Linked DNA regions of Danio rerio. The protein of the gene in region 3 purifies or fractionates together with the protein of the main gene of each other region. This does not show direct contact. Links are inferred from orthologs where the notes say so. Each region holds a gene or a part of one and is shown on either strand. Other genes may lie near its edges. The genes, in order: bcl7a, ss18 and smarcc1a.

Region 1 (4,159 bases), on a different chromosome or scaffold from region 3:
GCAGTAGAAATTAAAGTAATCGACACCTCATCTCTCGCTATACACTTTCCTAACCTGCAAGGATGTTTAAACCTTTAAATCAAAATTTAAAGCAGTCATGTGGGTATGGGTAAAAATAAAGCTTCGTACGTCACTGATCATGTGATTATGGCAAAACAAATTTAACTCCGGTACACTGCTTTACTGCGAGATGTATTATTTTTTGATACATGCTTCGAAGCCTCGGTTCACAACAGCACATCTCTAGCTTTAGGATAAAAGGTTTAGGAACAACTTTACTTTGTTCTATGAAATAAAATATGAATCATGAAATGTAACATTAATCCACAATATAGCTGTTTTGCTGTATTTAGGATTAAACACCTCATTGAGCAATATGGATGTATTTTAAAAACTATTTTAAATCTTATTTTAAAACTGTTGATTTATGAATAAATATGCAAGTGATGCTGTATGTATGTACCTGGGCCGATTTGGAAGAGTCTAAAAAGCTTTCTGAATCCCCCTGTGACTTGCTGTCCCTTTTGCTTGTCATAGACTCCGATGAGCAGTGGTTTTGTTCTGAAAATAATGACAAGGTTTCATTAAAACAAACAAACCAAAAACACAGACAAGTGGATAGTAAGCCTCTAGAGGATTCAATGCACAAACCACTCTTATGATCCTGACCAGATGAAGGCTGTTTGGAAGGATACTGGTCGTTTTTCAAGTCACTGCTGTCATTCTGAGAAGCGGCCATGGGCTCAGGTGCTGGACTAGTGTTGTTGCTGGTTTCCTGCTTCAATGGGGAAGAGTCCGCAATCGAGCTCTGGTTACTGTTGTCATCTGTGGGTAAAAAAATAGAAACAAAAAAAGTTTTAATATCTGAAAATGTCCATGCATTTGTAACTGTTAATAGGTGGTTACAGGTCGGAATAGCATAGCAAATAACCAGTTCACAGAGTAAAACTGTTTCATCAACTCCCTCTATTGGTTAAGAGGAAAAAATGCACATTCAAAGCTGCCATCATTAATAATTATAATAATGATTTTTTTCTAATAAAAAGCAGGTAACACTTCAAAATCTTAGTCATGCATATTAGACCAACTGTTTGAGGATCACAAAGAACACAATTTGAAATTCTCACATAAATTGGTTTAAAGACTACTGCATGTAATACTAATTTGAAAAAGGTAAAACATTGAGATGTGTTTAGGTGTACAGTTTTACCATGCATATCCATCATTCCAGGAGAGGAGCTGTTCTCAGGGGTCGTGACCTCAGAGCCATACTTGTCATCTTTGCCTTTCTTCTTATTTTTGTTCTTCTGTGTGACATAAATACATATTGCAATCAAGGCATATGAAGAAGATAGTAAAATATGTTGTGTCTGTTTTAAATACGACTCATTTTAGTTAACTTATTTTATTTAAAATAAATATGAATTTAATCTCTGTTAAAAACAATAATACTGGTCTGTGTTATGCTACAACTGAAATATGTTTCCCCCTCAACGAATACCACTACTAATTTACCTTTACTAAATTAAAAAAATAATAACTATAGAATTACTCATTAAAAAGTCATTTGCGTCATATTTTACCTTGACTATTTTGTTCCAACTTTCAAATGAATTTGTTGGTTGTGGTCCATAATGTTACAATAATTATTAGGTTATCAAAACTGCAACAGCTGTGCGTTATTGTAAATAAATGTCACTTACATCATCTGACTTGGGCTCCGTCACTGGTACCCACTTGTAGATTCGCAGTGACGTGTCACCAACAGTCACCCATTTCTTCTCCCTGGAGATGCATGTTATTGTTAGATATCAAAGACAAAGGAAACGCCAGACAAATGAGGACAAACCACTAAATCACTTACATTTAGAGGCATAAGAAATCTCAGATGAGCCATTATTTAGGCAAGATGCATTTGCAGAATATGCAACTGAACAAATTATCGATATCAATAGTAAATAATTATTATCATAAAAATAAATACTAATAATAATGCAGTTCACTAGCTCACAGATGTGTACAATTTTAATCGCACGTTGCCACAAAAACACGATTGTTTCTCATTTAACATGTATACTTTTATAGAATAAATATTGTTTTGGTAATTATTGTTAGTCCAACAAATAATTTGTCATGGTTTGAAAACCCTTAATTCAACTTAAACTTAAGTTTAAACGAAATCCCCAGCAGTTGCTTGAAGTGTAAAAAAGTGTATGTGAAACTGCGGCTCAGGGCTGAGTTTAAAACCCCGCGCGTGGATCAAACTCTCCTCACGCGCCGCCGCTCAAAGCGCGACTCTCTCACTTTCAACACGAGATGAACGAGTCAAACGCCCGTTCACCGGCACTTTCTGTTCGGTACGGACGGTTCACTCTAGTTTCCTCATGTCAGCCCGTTCGGTTACTATTCAGCCGGCATTACAGGCTCTAACAGCAAAGCCTTCATGTGACTGCAACGAAATGGCTTCTAGGTTCAACCCACATAAAAATTTAATGGAAGAAAAAACGCGATCTACATTTTCCCAAACTATGTTTTCACACAGCCGACAAAGGAGCAGCCGCGCGCAGAATCGCAGAAACAGTACATCTGAGTGAAATTGGAGTGGAATAAACGCTCTCTTCGCTTTCATTTCATTGTTTCTCGGTGTCTCTCCTCCCCCACAGGCTGTCTGTGCTGTTCGTTAACGGATAGACGCTCTCTCTTACCATTTCCGCACTTTTTCAATTGCAGCCATAACCCGCTTGATGTCATCTTTCGCCCTGCTCCGCGTCTCCGCTCGAACCGACCTGCCCGACATTACTGCTGTTGGTAAAATATCTTTTTGCTCGCTGCCTGTTTAGACACAATGCGAATGCACACAGCACAGGAGAGAGGCGGGGTTTGTGCGCCTGCGCTGAAGCCAAATGCCCTCGAAGCATGAGAGACACGGTCAATGCGGGTACGCGTTTCGCTCCTTTGTTGGCGAACAGAGCAAAGAAAACGATATTTTATCAGATTGCTGAGCTAGACGAGCGAATCGAAACCAGCACCACGACATCAACACACGTTTTATAAATGTATCTGGAAAAAATGGAGACTTCAATCGACAGCATGTTGACAAACGACATGTTTTATTTTCGTATGATTTTATCTCTATGCGAAAGAATTGAACGCAAACATATAACACAACAGCTCGCTAACCACACAATAACAGTCCATCTGTTTTAAAATACATTACTTATTGACAACGCATGAACATAAGCAGGGAAATGTAAATATATTATGACTCCTGTCCGTGGTGTTCTTGATGGAGCTCCTGGGTGGCGACAGAAAAGCCCAATATATCTGAGGCAAATGCGTCCATGGTGATTTCAGCTGGAAGCACACTTTCCAACAGAGACCCTGAAAGGAGAAAGAGTAACGTTTGTTGAGATCAAAAGATTGCTACATTTTGAAAATCATAATGTATTTTAGCCAAATAGTCTTTAACATTGCAGAGGTTATATATGTGAGTGCATTATTAGCAAAGACGCTAATTTGCACATTCACTTGCCTATGATTTAACCCAAAACATAACCAACAATGTAAAGGCAAAACATGTAAGATGAACGTGTAAATGAACATGTTCATTTATTAATTTATTCAATTTTCTTCAGCTTTGTCACTTTATTAATCTGAGGTCGCCACAGCGGAATGAACCATCAACTTATCCAGCATATTTTTAACACAGCGGATCCCTTCTAGCTGCAACCCAGTACTGGGAAACACCCATACAAACTCAGAAACACTCACACAAAAGACAATTAAGCTTACCCAATTCACCTATAGCGCATGTCTTTGGACTGTGGGGGAAACCCACGCCCACACGGGGAGACCATGCAAACTTCAGACAGAAATGCCGACTGACCCAGTTGGCACTCAAACCAGTGACCTTCTTGCTGTGAGGTGAAAGTGCTAACCACTGAGCCACCGTGTCGCCTTTTCATAGTGTTATATATTTTTTATTATTTTCTGGTAATGCTTTCAAAAATGTTTAAGTCCAAAGAAATAAGCAGTTTTAGTGACAAGGACCATGTCCTGTGTTCCCATGCTAATTATGTCAAATACCCTTGACCACCCTTGGTTTGGTTTTATAGAAAACATGTAGTGGGAAACACCAAAGATGTTTAACATGTTTTGT
Region 2 (4,154 bases), on a different chromosome or scaffold from region 3:
ACATCTTTAGCTGGACATATACAGTGTACAGTTTTGAATGTTACTTCTTTTACCTTGTCAGTTATACAATAAATTTCATAAGAACGTCTGGAGATCTTACAGGTCTCATTCCACATTGAGCTTGTGATCTCCAAATACCATTGGCTGACGGAACACTAACACTATATATATAATCATTCTAATGATTATATATATATATATATATATATATATATATATATATATATATATATATATATATATATATATATATATATATTTATATATATATATATATATATATATTTATATATATATATATATATATATATATATATATATATATATATATATATATATATATATATATATATATATATATTTATATTTATATTTATACTTCCAGTTTAAGATTAAATCTAAAGTTGTGCTGCAAGCTATTATTACAAAATGTTGAGCTGCAAATTTGTTTTCCTCTTGTCAAATGCAGATTGCAGACCAAAAATGTTTACCTGCTGTGCGATACTGCCACCTGCTGATAGGTGTGACCCTGACAGTTGAGCTTTCTTGAAAATAAACGACTTTCTCTTACAATTGTAAATGCAAAAGGACCGGTCATTTAAATAACAGTACTGTGCACAATAGCAAATGGTGCACAAATAGTTTTCTTAACTGTGAATGTAAATAAAAATGCCACCTATATGTCAGGCTCTGCATCTGCAACATGCTTTTGAATTGGCTATTACATTTAGTCTTACAATTTAGATGCAGGTAAATACTAAAGAAGATATTAATTTAAATATTTAGGATGCTGAAGCAGCCATTTAAAGCGGATCATGTTGTAAAGCAGTGATTTTCATTCCGCTCGTCATAATATATTGCATAATTTATTGAATTTAAATTAAATGCAAGTACTTGCGCATATGAAAATGGCGTTTTGGTATTTCCTAAATTTGCTTCAATTTTTTGCGCATATGAATATAGCAAGTCAATTAAAGTATAACATATGTGCACACTCCACACACGACGGCGTTTTGCGCATTGCATGTGCAACGGAAACGCGCACGTACTCAGTGCACAAAATGCTGCTGTTTGGAATTCCCCCTTCTCTGACCCTTAGGGGCAAACCATTTTTAAGAAAAAGAGGTGTGCTTTGGATTTGTAGCTCTTATAAATTATATTAATCTGGACACTGCGCCCATTCACACTGTGTAATGATTAATAACAGAGTTTAAATATGTAAACAGACATTTTGCTACCAGCAGGTCTTCTTTATTTCTTGTCTTGAGTGTGATTTGGTGTATGCGAGGCTCCCCTGTGTGCTCCGTGCGCGTTGGTTGATTCTGATTTCGCAGCTCAGCGCGTTTGTTCTCGGTCAGTGTGTTTGTGTCCACCGTAGCGGTAATCTGAATTAACCAGAAACAAGCAATGTCTGTGGCTTTTGCACCGCACCGGCAGCGTGCCAAGGGCGATATAACGCCTGCCGGGATACAGAAGGTAACCTCATTTATTAGTTCGTCAAGCCGAGCGAAAACTGGAAACGGAAAATTTGCGTTAGGCTAGTTAGCTGCAACATCTCTCCCGCCAACACTAGCATAACATCACCAACAAGACGCTTATAAGGTGACATTTGTCGTCGTATTTAACAGCTCCTACATAACCGAATACCAGCGTAAAATGGGCTGATTTTGTGTTTTTTGGTCCGGGGTTTTTAAAGCTGTTGAAATCTGCTCGGTTCTGCTGTGTCTTTGTTAGCCGCTAACGTTACTACTCGGCTGTCTGATGAATCACAATGGAGGATTGTGTACAAGCATCACAACGTACATGTTCACTTGACAATAACACTGTCGTCGATTTATTTTTAAAGATATCGTCGATTTATATTTGATTTTGTGATGAAATTCATTTCGTTACGAACTAGCGTGTAACGTTATGCTAATATCTGATTTATTGATGAACAATGTCTGATTTGGTCATTTTCAGTCATGTCTTATTCGACAAGCCAAACGTTATTTTTGACACGTTAGATGTGTAAGTTAGCAGATTTTTCATTCCTGATGTCTTATAAAATTATTCAAGGTTAATGCATAAGTTTTAATTAGATTTGTTGATTTGTTTAGTGATTTCTGTTACTCAGGTCTGATGGAGATATACAGTAGAAGTCAGAATTATTAGCCCCCATTTTAATGTTTTTCTTCTTTAAATATTTCCTAAATGAAGTTCAACAGAGCAAGGAAATTTTTTACAGTTTGTCTGAAAATGTTTTTTCTTCTGGAAAAAGTCTTATTTGTTTTATTTCGGCTAGAATAAAAGCCATTTTTTAAACACCATATTAGGGGTAAAATTATTAACGTTAACCCCATTAAGCTATATTTTCTTTCGAAAGTCTAAAGAACAAACCATCATTATACAATAACTTATTACCCTAACCTGCCTAGTTACACTAATTAACCTCGTTAAGCCTTTAAATGTCACTTTAAGCTTTATAGAAGTGTCTTGAAAAATATCTAGTAAAATATTATTTACTGTCATCATGGCAAAGATAAAATAAATCTATTATTAGAAATAAGTTATTAAAACTAATATGTTTAAAAATGTGCTGAAAAAATCTCCGTTAAACAGAAATTGGGGAAAAAACAAACAAGCGGTCTAACAATTCAGGGGGGTTAATAATTCTGACTTCAACTATAGATATTTCGATATTGTCCTTATCCAAAGAAAGAAAAAAACATATATCGCCATGGCATACAATAATAAGTAGTATTAAACAGTTTATTAACCAGATTTTTGTTATGGCAAAGATATAACGATTATTCATGATTTTATTATAATAAAAGTGTTGTCATTAATGATTTTTTTTAAACAACTGTTTCGTAGCTTCTGTGGAAATTATTTATTTTGAATATTTAGCTATTTATAATATTCTCTGCTGCAGTTGTTTTGGTGTTTTTCTTTTGGTGAATTTGTTTCTTTAAATTAGCTTTCAATCAGGTCCTGGAGATTAACATCACTATACAATCACTCTGAAATATATTCAGTTTTTATAATAATATAAGACATGCTATAGAGGTAAAGTTGGTTTTATATTCGCACATTCGTTCATTTAGAAGTCTATATTGTTTACCATGTTACATTAAATATTCGATCGGAATTGGCACGCATGTATGACTTCTAAACAACATTAACACTATGTAATTCACTGTGAACAATGTTGTTCTTTGATAGTCATTTGCTGCTAATCTGATTTCCCTTTTTACAATTTTCAGAGAATACTTTTCTGAAATTATATAATCAGATCAAGGAGAATGTCTGAATATCCGAATATAAAACCAACTTTACCTCCATAGACATTCTTAGTCATTAATTCAAGTCAATATTTAACTAATTCCCTCTTTTATGATTATAATTCATTTGTATATGCATTTGTATAACGGCCCTGAGGAAAATAAGTCATATTGGATATAAATAAATGATTTAGAAAAATAAATACAATTATCATCCTTCAGTCTGCAATAGTATAAAGCATTGGTACCAAAAATAAATTGGCTAAAACTGACAAACAAGTCACACGAAAGCTTTGCATGGAAAAACATTTTGGTTTAAACCAATAAATGACCAAAAACATGTGTCTTATATTTAAATATATATATATATATTTTAAATAAATAAATTTATTGGTGAACAATATATCGTTTGAGCATCAATATCGCAATGTGTGCATCCCCAATAGTCACATTGCAGGATTCGATTATTTATTAAAGATGAAGATGAAAAGACAAAGATGTTGTTATTTTACCTTTGATAACTGTTCAATTTCTGTGCTTGACTCCACAGAAAGCCATAAAGCACTGTTTGTTAATTTATTTAATTAATTATATATGCTTGTAATTTATTATATTTATGCAGATGTACTTGATAATCCCAGTTGATCTAAATTAAGAAATGGGTTATTCAAATCATGTGGTAAAATTATATTTCTTATGGCAATGTATATCACAGCAAAACAAAATATCGCATTATCTGACTTTTCTAATATCGTGCAGCCCTTGCAAACTGAAATATATAGTGTACCTATATATCAATAACATTAGAGAGTCACTGTGTATGTTGCAGTTGCGTTGAATGAGCGTTTATGATTGGGCAGTCATGTTTATGCCCAGGATCATGTTTGATTC
Region 3 (4,408 bases):
CTGTCATTTCTTTGTGCCGTTTTGATCCTTTCTCATAAGGCACAACGCTTGCAAATGCTTAACCAATGAATACTTGTTCAGTCTGTTTGGGCTGGTTTTGATGTGTGCATTTATTTGTTACGATAGAGTTTGTCGACATGCATTGATCATACAGTTTTTTATGACGCTGTTTTAAGTGTTGGAACAGATTTGTAGGATTGCTCAGTTTTGCCGTAAAAAACGTTTCACAAGTCTTACAAATGACCTTGCTCTGTGACACATTGTCTCTCCTGAATCTTAAATTCTCCCAAACAACTGATGTTGAATTTCTCTTTGGCACCAAATAACTTTTATTCTGACCTGCACCCGTATTTTATGTTCTTTCCTCACGCTCAACTTCGTTGTGTGCGGAGTGAGCTGGTTAACATCTTTCTCCAGCTCAGCTTAGCTGTATTTGCGTGGTGCACAATGTCAGCTGATTGGTTAACATTAAAATCATGCACACAAGAACGTATTCTGTATAAAAATCTAAATAAATTAATAGATTAAAAATTGCATGCGCTTAAATCACGATTTTTTTGTGATTGCGATTAATTGTACAGTCCTAGTTGTGACATTTCAAGTTGTGTTATTCTTTAATAACAAGTCATCAAACATTTGGGTGCTGTGATCTAACTCTTTGTTGTTTCAGGCAAACACAGCTAGTCATCTTTTGTTACCTACAGTTACTGAATGAATTAAAAATTAAACTTTAAGAGAAATCTGGTATTGATATTACTGTGCATTTGTGTCTGTGTTCATCTTTTGCTTTGTTTTGAAGTGGTTGTAATGCAAAAGCTTTATAAGATAAGGAGCTAATATTATTATACTACAGATGACAACACTTACTGAAAGCTAAAACAATACTGCAAATCCAGACTTACAGGTAGTTTGGTGAGGGCAGGATTGCTGACTCTACGTCCAAATGCATCCTCTTGAAACTGCAGCAATTGCACCACCAGTGCAGCCAATGTTTTGCTTGTAGGAGAGTCAGTCTGGACATGCTGCAGAAAAAAACAAGTCCTATTAAACACAAGCAATTCAACTAAGAAACAAAGCATTTGACTTTTCCAGTGAAATCATTACACCTGGAAGTAACAATACATGTAAAACATACTATCTCCAGTCAATACATGCTTCTGCAATTCTTGGATAACACAGTGAAGTAATTAAATGATCTAATGAACAATTATGACTTAAATAAACAAGCATGTTTTAGCTTTAGGTACACATCAAAACTAAATAATTCAACTAAACATAATGCCATTGTAAATCTTTTTTAGTAAAGCATTTAAACAGTGCATCACATAACTGTAGGACAGTTAAATTGAACTCTTCAAATGCGTTCTTTCACATTACAGTAATATCTTGAGCAAATAAATTATAAATAGCATCTATGCAAATTATTTTCTTTGTTCTCTATTTCTAGATTGTGGAGTGCCACTCGATCAGATCAAAGACATGAAAAGAGATGCCAATCCTGTGAGGACTTGAAGAGATGATGCCAACCATCAGAGATCTTCAACGACAACAAAGACTTAAGACACAAGTACACTTCATCGAACATGTATTATTATCATCCTTATTATTAATGTAAATATTGATTATTTTGTAAAAAATAAATCACCATATAACTGCATGTTAACCATGTTTATACACTGCCAACTGTTTACACAACTCATTAACTATTCTGATTTTAACTGTAATGCCTTTTGTGAAGCTACTTTGGGAAGATAATTGTAAGCGCTATACAAGTAATCTTGAATCTAAGTGAACACTGTGTCATTTGTGACAACTTGAATCACCTTGTAAATACCAAGATGAAATACTTTCACAGGTAAATACACAGCTATATATTTATGAGATTTACATAATCACTGTTCCATGGCACTTCTGTTAAAACAATATTAGATAGTTCGCCCAAAATTTATATTCACTCACGCTCAATTGGTTCCAAACCTTTGTAAGTTTCTTCTGCTGAACACCAAAGATGATAATTACTTTTAAGAACCTGTAAGCATTCACTTTCATAGTAGTAAAAACAAATACCATGGAAGTCAATTGTCACAGGTTTTTAGAATTCTTCGAAATATCTTCTTACGTGGTTTACTGAAGAGAGAAAATCATAAAGGTTTGAAACAAGTGGTGAGTAAAGGATGTCAGAATTTTCATTATTGGGTGAACTATCCCTTTAAAGGTTCAGTAAACAAACTTCTGCATAAACAACTGATACATTGTGGTGCTAAATACATTAAGAACGAATGGAAGACACAGTTTTAATAAAGCAAGTACAAATAAGACGAACATAAACACGGCAGTTAAGCAGATTTTAAGACATATCCTCATCATGGCAGATCTCAGTCAGCAACGTTAGCGCGCGAGCTAACTCAACAACCCACAACACTGCCGCTTAAAACAACACAACAGCTAAACTTGCCGACTAAAACGCCAGTACGGATGCTGAACACAATCTGCACGACTGCTCTGGTTCGACCCTGTCAAACAACCGACAATAATTGCGAATAAACAACAAGAAATCGCGCGTGCCGCTTCTTGTAGCTATTGTGTGATGCGCGCGCCCCCATTCAACGGGCGCCTCATGAGCAGCAGACCTTCTTATAATGTTTCCCGATCCACAAGCGAACTGTCTCCAACTGGGACACCGTTTCCGAGCTCTCCCAATACTTGGAAGATGGCCCTCCGTCTTTTTTACGTCCGATCGAGGAACCGGCGCCCGTTTGGCCGGCAGATGGTCCTCCGGAGCCCGTTCCGCCCGCTGCAGTCGCCGCTGTCGCCATTGTTTCTTTATTAGCGATAGAGGCTAGTCCGTGGAAAATGTTTAAAACAGCACTGCGTCTGCGCAACGCCGACACAGGAGTCGTTGCTCGAAGGAGATCTCGCGAGAGCTCATCATTGCGCGTTAGAGACCAGTCGAGACGTAAATAAAAATAAAATAAAAATAAAATAAAATAAAATAAAATAAAATAAAATAAAATAAAATAAAATAAAATAAAATAAAATAAAATAAAATAAATATCCAACTAAAGAATCAAAATAATAAAATATTTAAATAATATGATGATTACTAGTTTAGAGCTGGTTTACACTCTAATGCAGTATGCAATTGTAAGTACGCTTAGGAATCGAATTTACCAAAATCTTACAAATACATGAGATACTTAGATATTTATATTATTTTAAAGAATTTTTTAAGAATTTCAGATGTTTTAGATATTAACGAAAATTGATTGAGTTATTTTTATATTACATTATTTTATATAGTATTATATTTATGCATATAACTAATCCATTTTTATGATTTAAATAAATGATTTAACACAATTCTCGGAAGCTATGGAATTAAAAAAAATTATATATATATATATATATATATATATATATATATATATATATATATATATATATATATATATATATATATATATATATATATATATATATATATAGTATAATATAATAATATAATATTTTTGTACATCATGCAAATAAAAAAGGCAAAATGTAGCATATTTTGTAGCCATGAGAAAGTTTTCATGTGTAATTCCACCGCTGAACATCATAAGTCGCTGTAGACAATGAATTTGTCCTTGGGAAAGACTTTTATGTAGGTCTACTGCTATATTTATTTATTTTCCCTTTTTCTTTCTTATTTTCGCATTTATTACTTTTTTATTACTTTTTAAATAGTTTTTTTTTTTTTTTTTTTTACTTTTTTTACTTTACTTTACTTTACTTTACTTTCATTCTTTCGAGTTAAAAATAACATATATTTTTACAGAAAGAAAAAATTGTGCCATCTAGTGCTTAAACAGGGTTTTACACTTTGAGAGTCTGGATCAGGTCTATGGTCTGGATGCAGACTCTGCAGTTGAAATCTGCAAGGCACACAGCATACAGCAAAGTTGGCCTACATCTTGACCCACATTTAAAATACATTTTTATTCATTTCAAATAAGGAAAACAATTCTACCATTCAGGTTGCTTTGAGAAAAAGCACGCCTTTAGCACACCTAAAACGCAACGATTCATTGATTTATCCATTTCATTGCAGTCATGACACAAAAACACATCTGGCTTAGTTCAAGCTCAGTTATGGGCTATTGACTTGGCTGAGATTTGGCCCAGATATGGTCCGTGTTTGGTCTTTGTCTGGAAGCCAGACTTGGTCCAGTCACCGTAATTTACTGCAGCATGTGGGCCAAGCAAAAGCTGATTGTGTGGGCCAAAGCTGGGCCAAAGAAATTTTGCTTTAAGTGTTGTTTTTTTTTTCACCTCTGTCCCCATTAATTCGTACTAACATTGATTATTGGGATAGTTGGGGAAAAGAGAAACATTCAGAAACATTCATGGCAGAATATAAAACTAACTA

The links.
Region 1: the proteins of smarcc1a (region 3) and bcl7a purify together in Homo sapiens (affinity purification with mass spectrometry; 4 studies listed by BioGRID and IntAct, counting the BioPlex papers as one, with this or other methods). This does not show direct contact. The link is inferred for Danio rerio from reciprocal best matches to the Homo sapiens genes SMARCC1 and BCL7A.
Region 2: the proteins of smarcc1a (region 3) and ss18 purify together in Homo sapiens (affinity purification with mass spectrometry; 4 studies listed by BioGRID and IntAct, counting the BioPlex papers as one, with this or other methods). This does not show direct contact. The link is inferred for Danio rerio from reciprocal best matches to the Homo sapiens genes SMARCC1 and SS18.

Annotation. Positions count from the first base shown.
Region 1 is NC_133180.1:42,613,787-42,617,945, reverse strand, and holds the start of bcl7a (B-cell CLL/lymphoma 7 protein family member A), read right to left. Parts: upstream 2,863-4,159; 5' UTR 2,798-2,862; coding exon 2,706-2,797; exon of another isoform or gene 1,867-2,705; coding exon of another isoform or gene 1,865-1,866; intron 1,786-1,864; coding exon 1,704-1,785; intron 1,308-1,703; coding exon 1,211-1,307; intron 826-1,210; coding exon 670-825; coding exon of another isoform or gene 652-669; intron 562-651; coding exon 464-561; intron 1-463. Other genes in the region: cfap251 (cilia- and flagella-associated protein 251), read right to left, coding at 3,260-3,381.
Region 2 is NC_133177.1:1,537,897-1,542,050, reverse strand, and holds the start of ss18 (protein SSXT), read left to right. Parts: upstream 1-1,281; 5' UTR 1,282-1,407; coding exon 1,408-1,476; intron 1,477-4,154. UniProt on the Homo sapiens protein: Appears to function synergistically with RBM14 as a transcriptional coactivator. Isoform 1 and isoform 2 function in nuclear receptor coactivation. Isoform 1 and isoform 2 function in general transcriptional coactivation.
Region 3 is NC_133191.1:46,885,130-46,889,537, forward strand, and holds the start of smarcc1a (SWI/SNF complex subunit SMARCC1), read right to left. Parts: upstream 2,835-4,408; 5' UTR 2,817-2,834; coding exon 2,631-2,816; intron 1,023-2,630; coding exon 903-1,022; intron 1-902. UniProt on the Homo sapiens protein: Involved in transcriptional activation and repression of select genes by chromatin remodeling (alteration of DNA-nucleosome topology).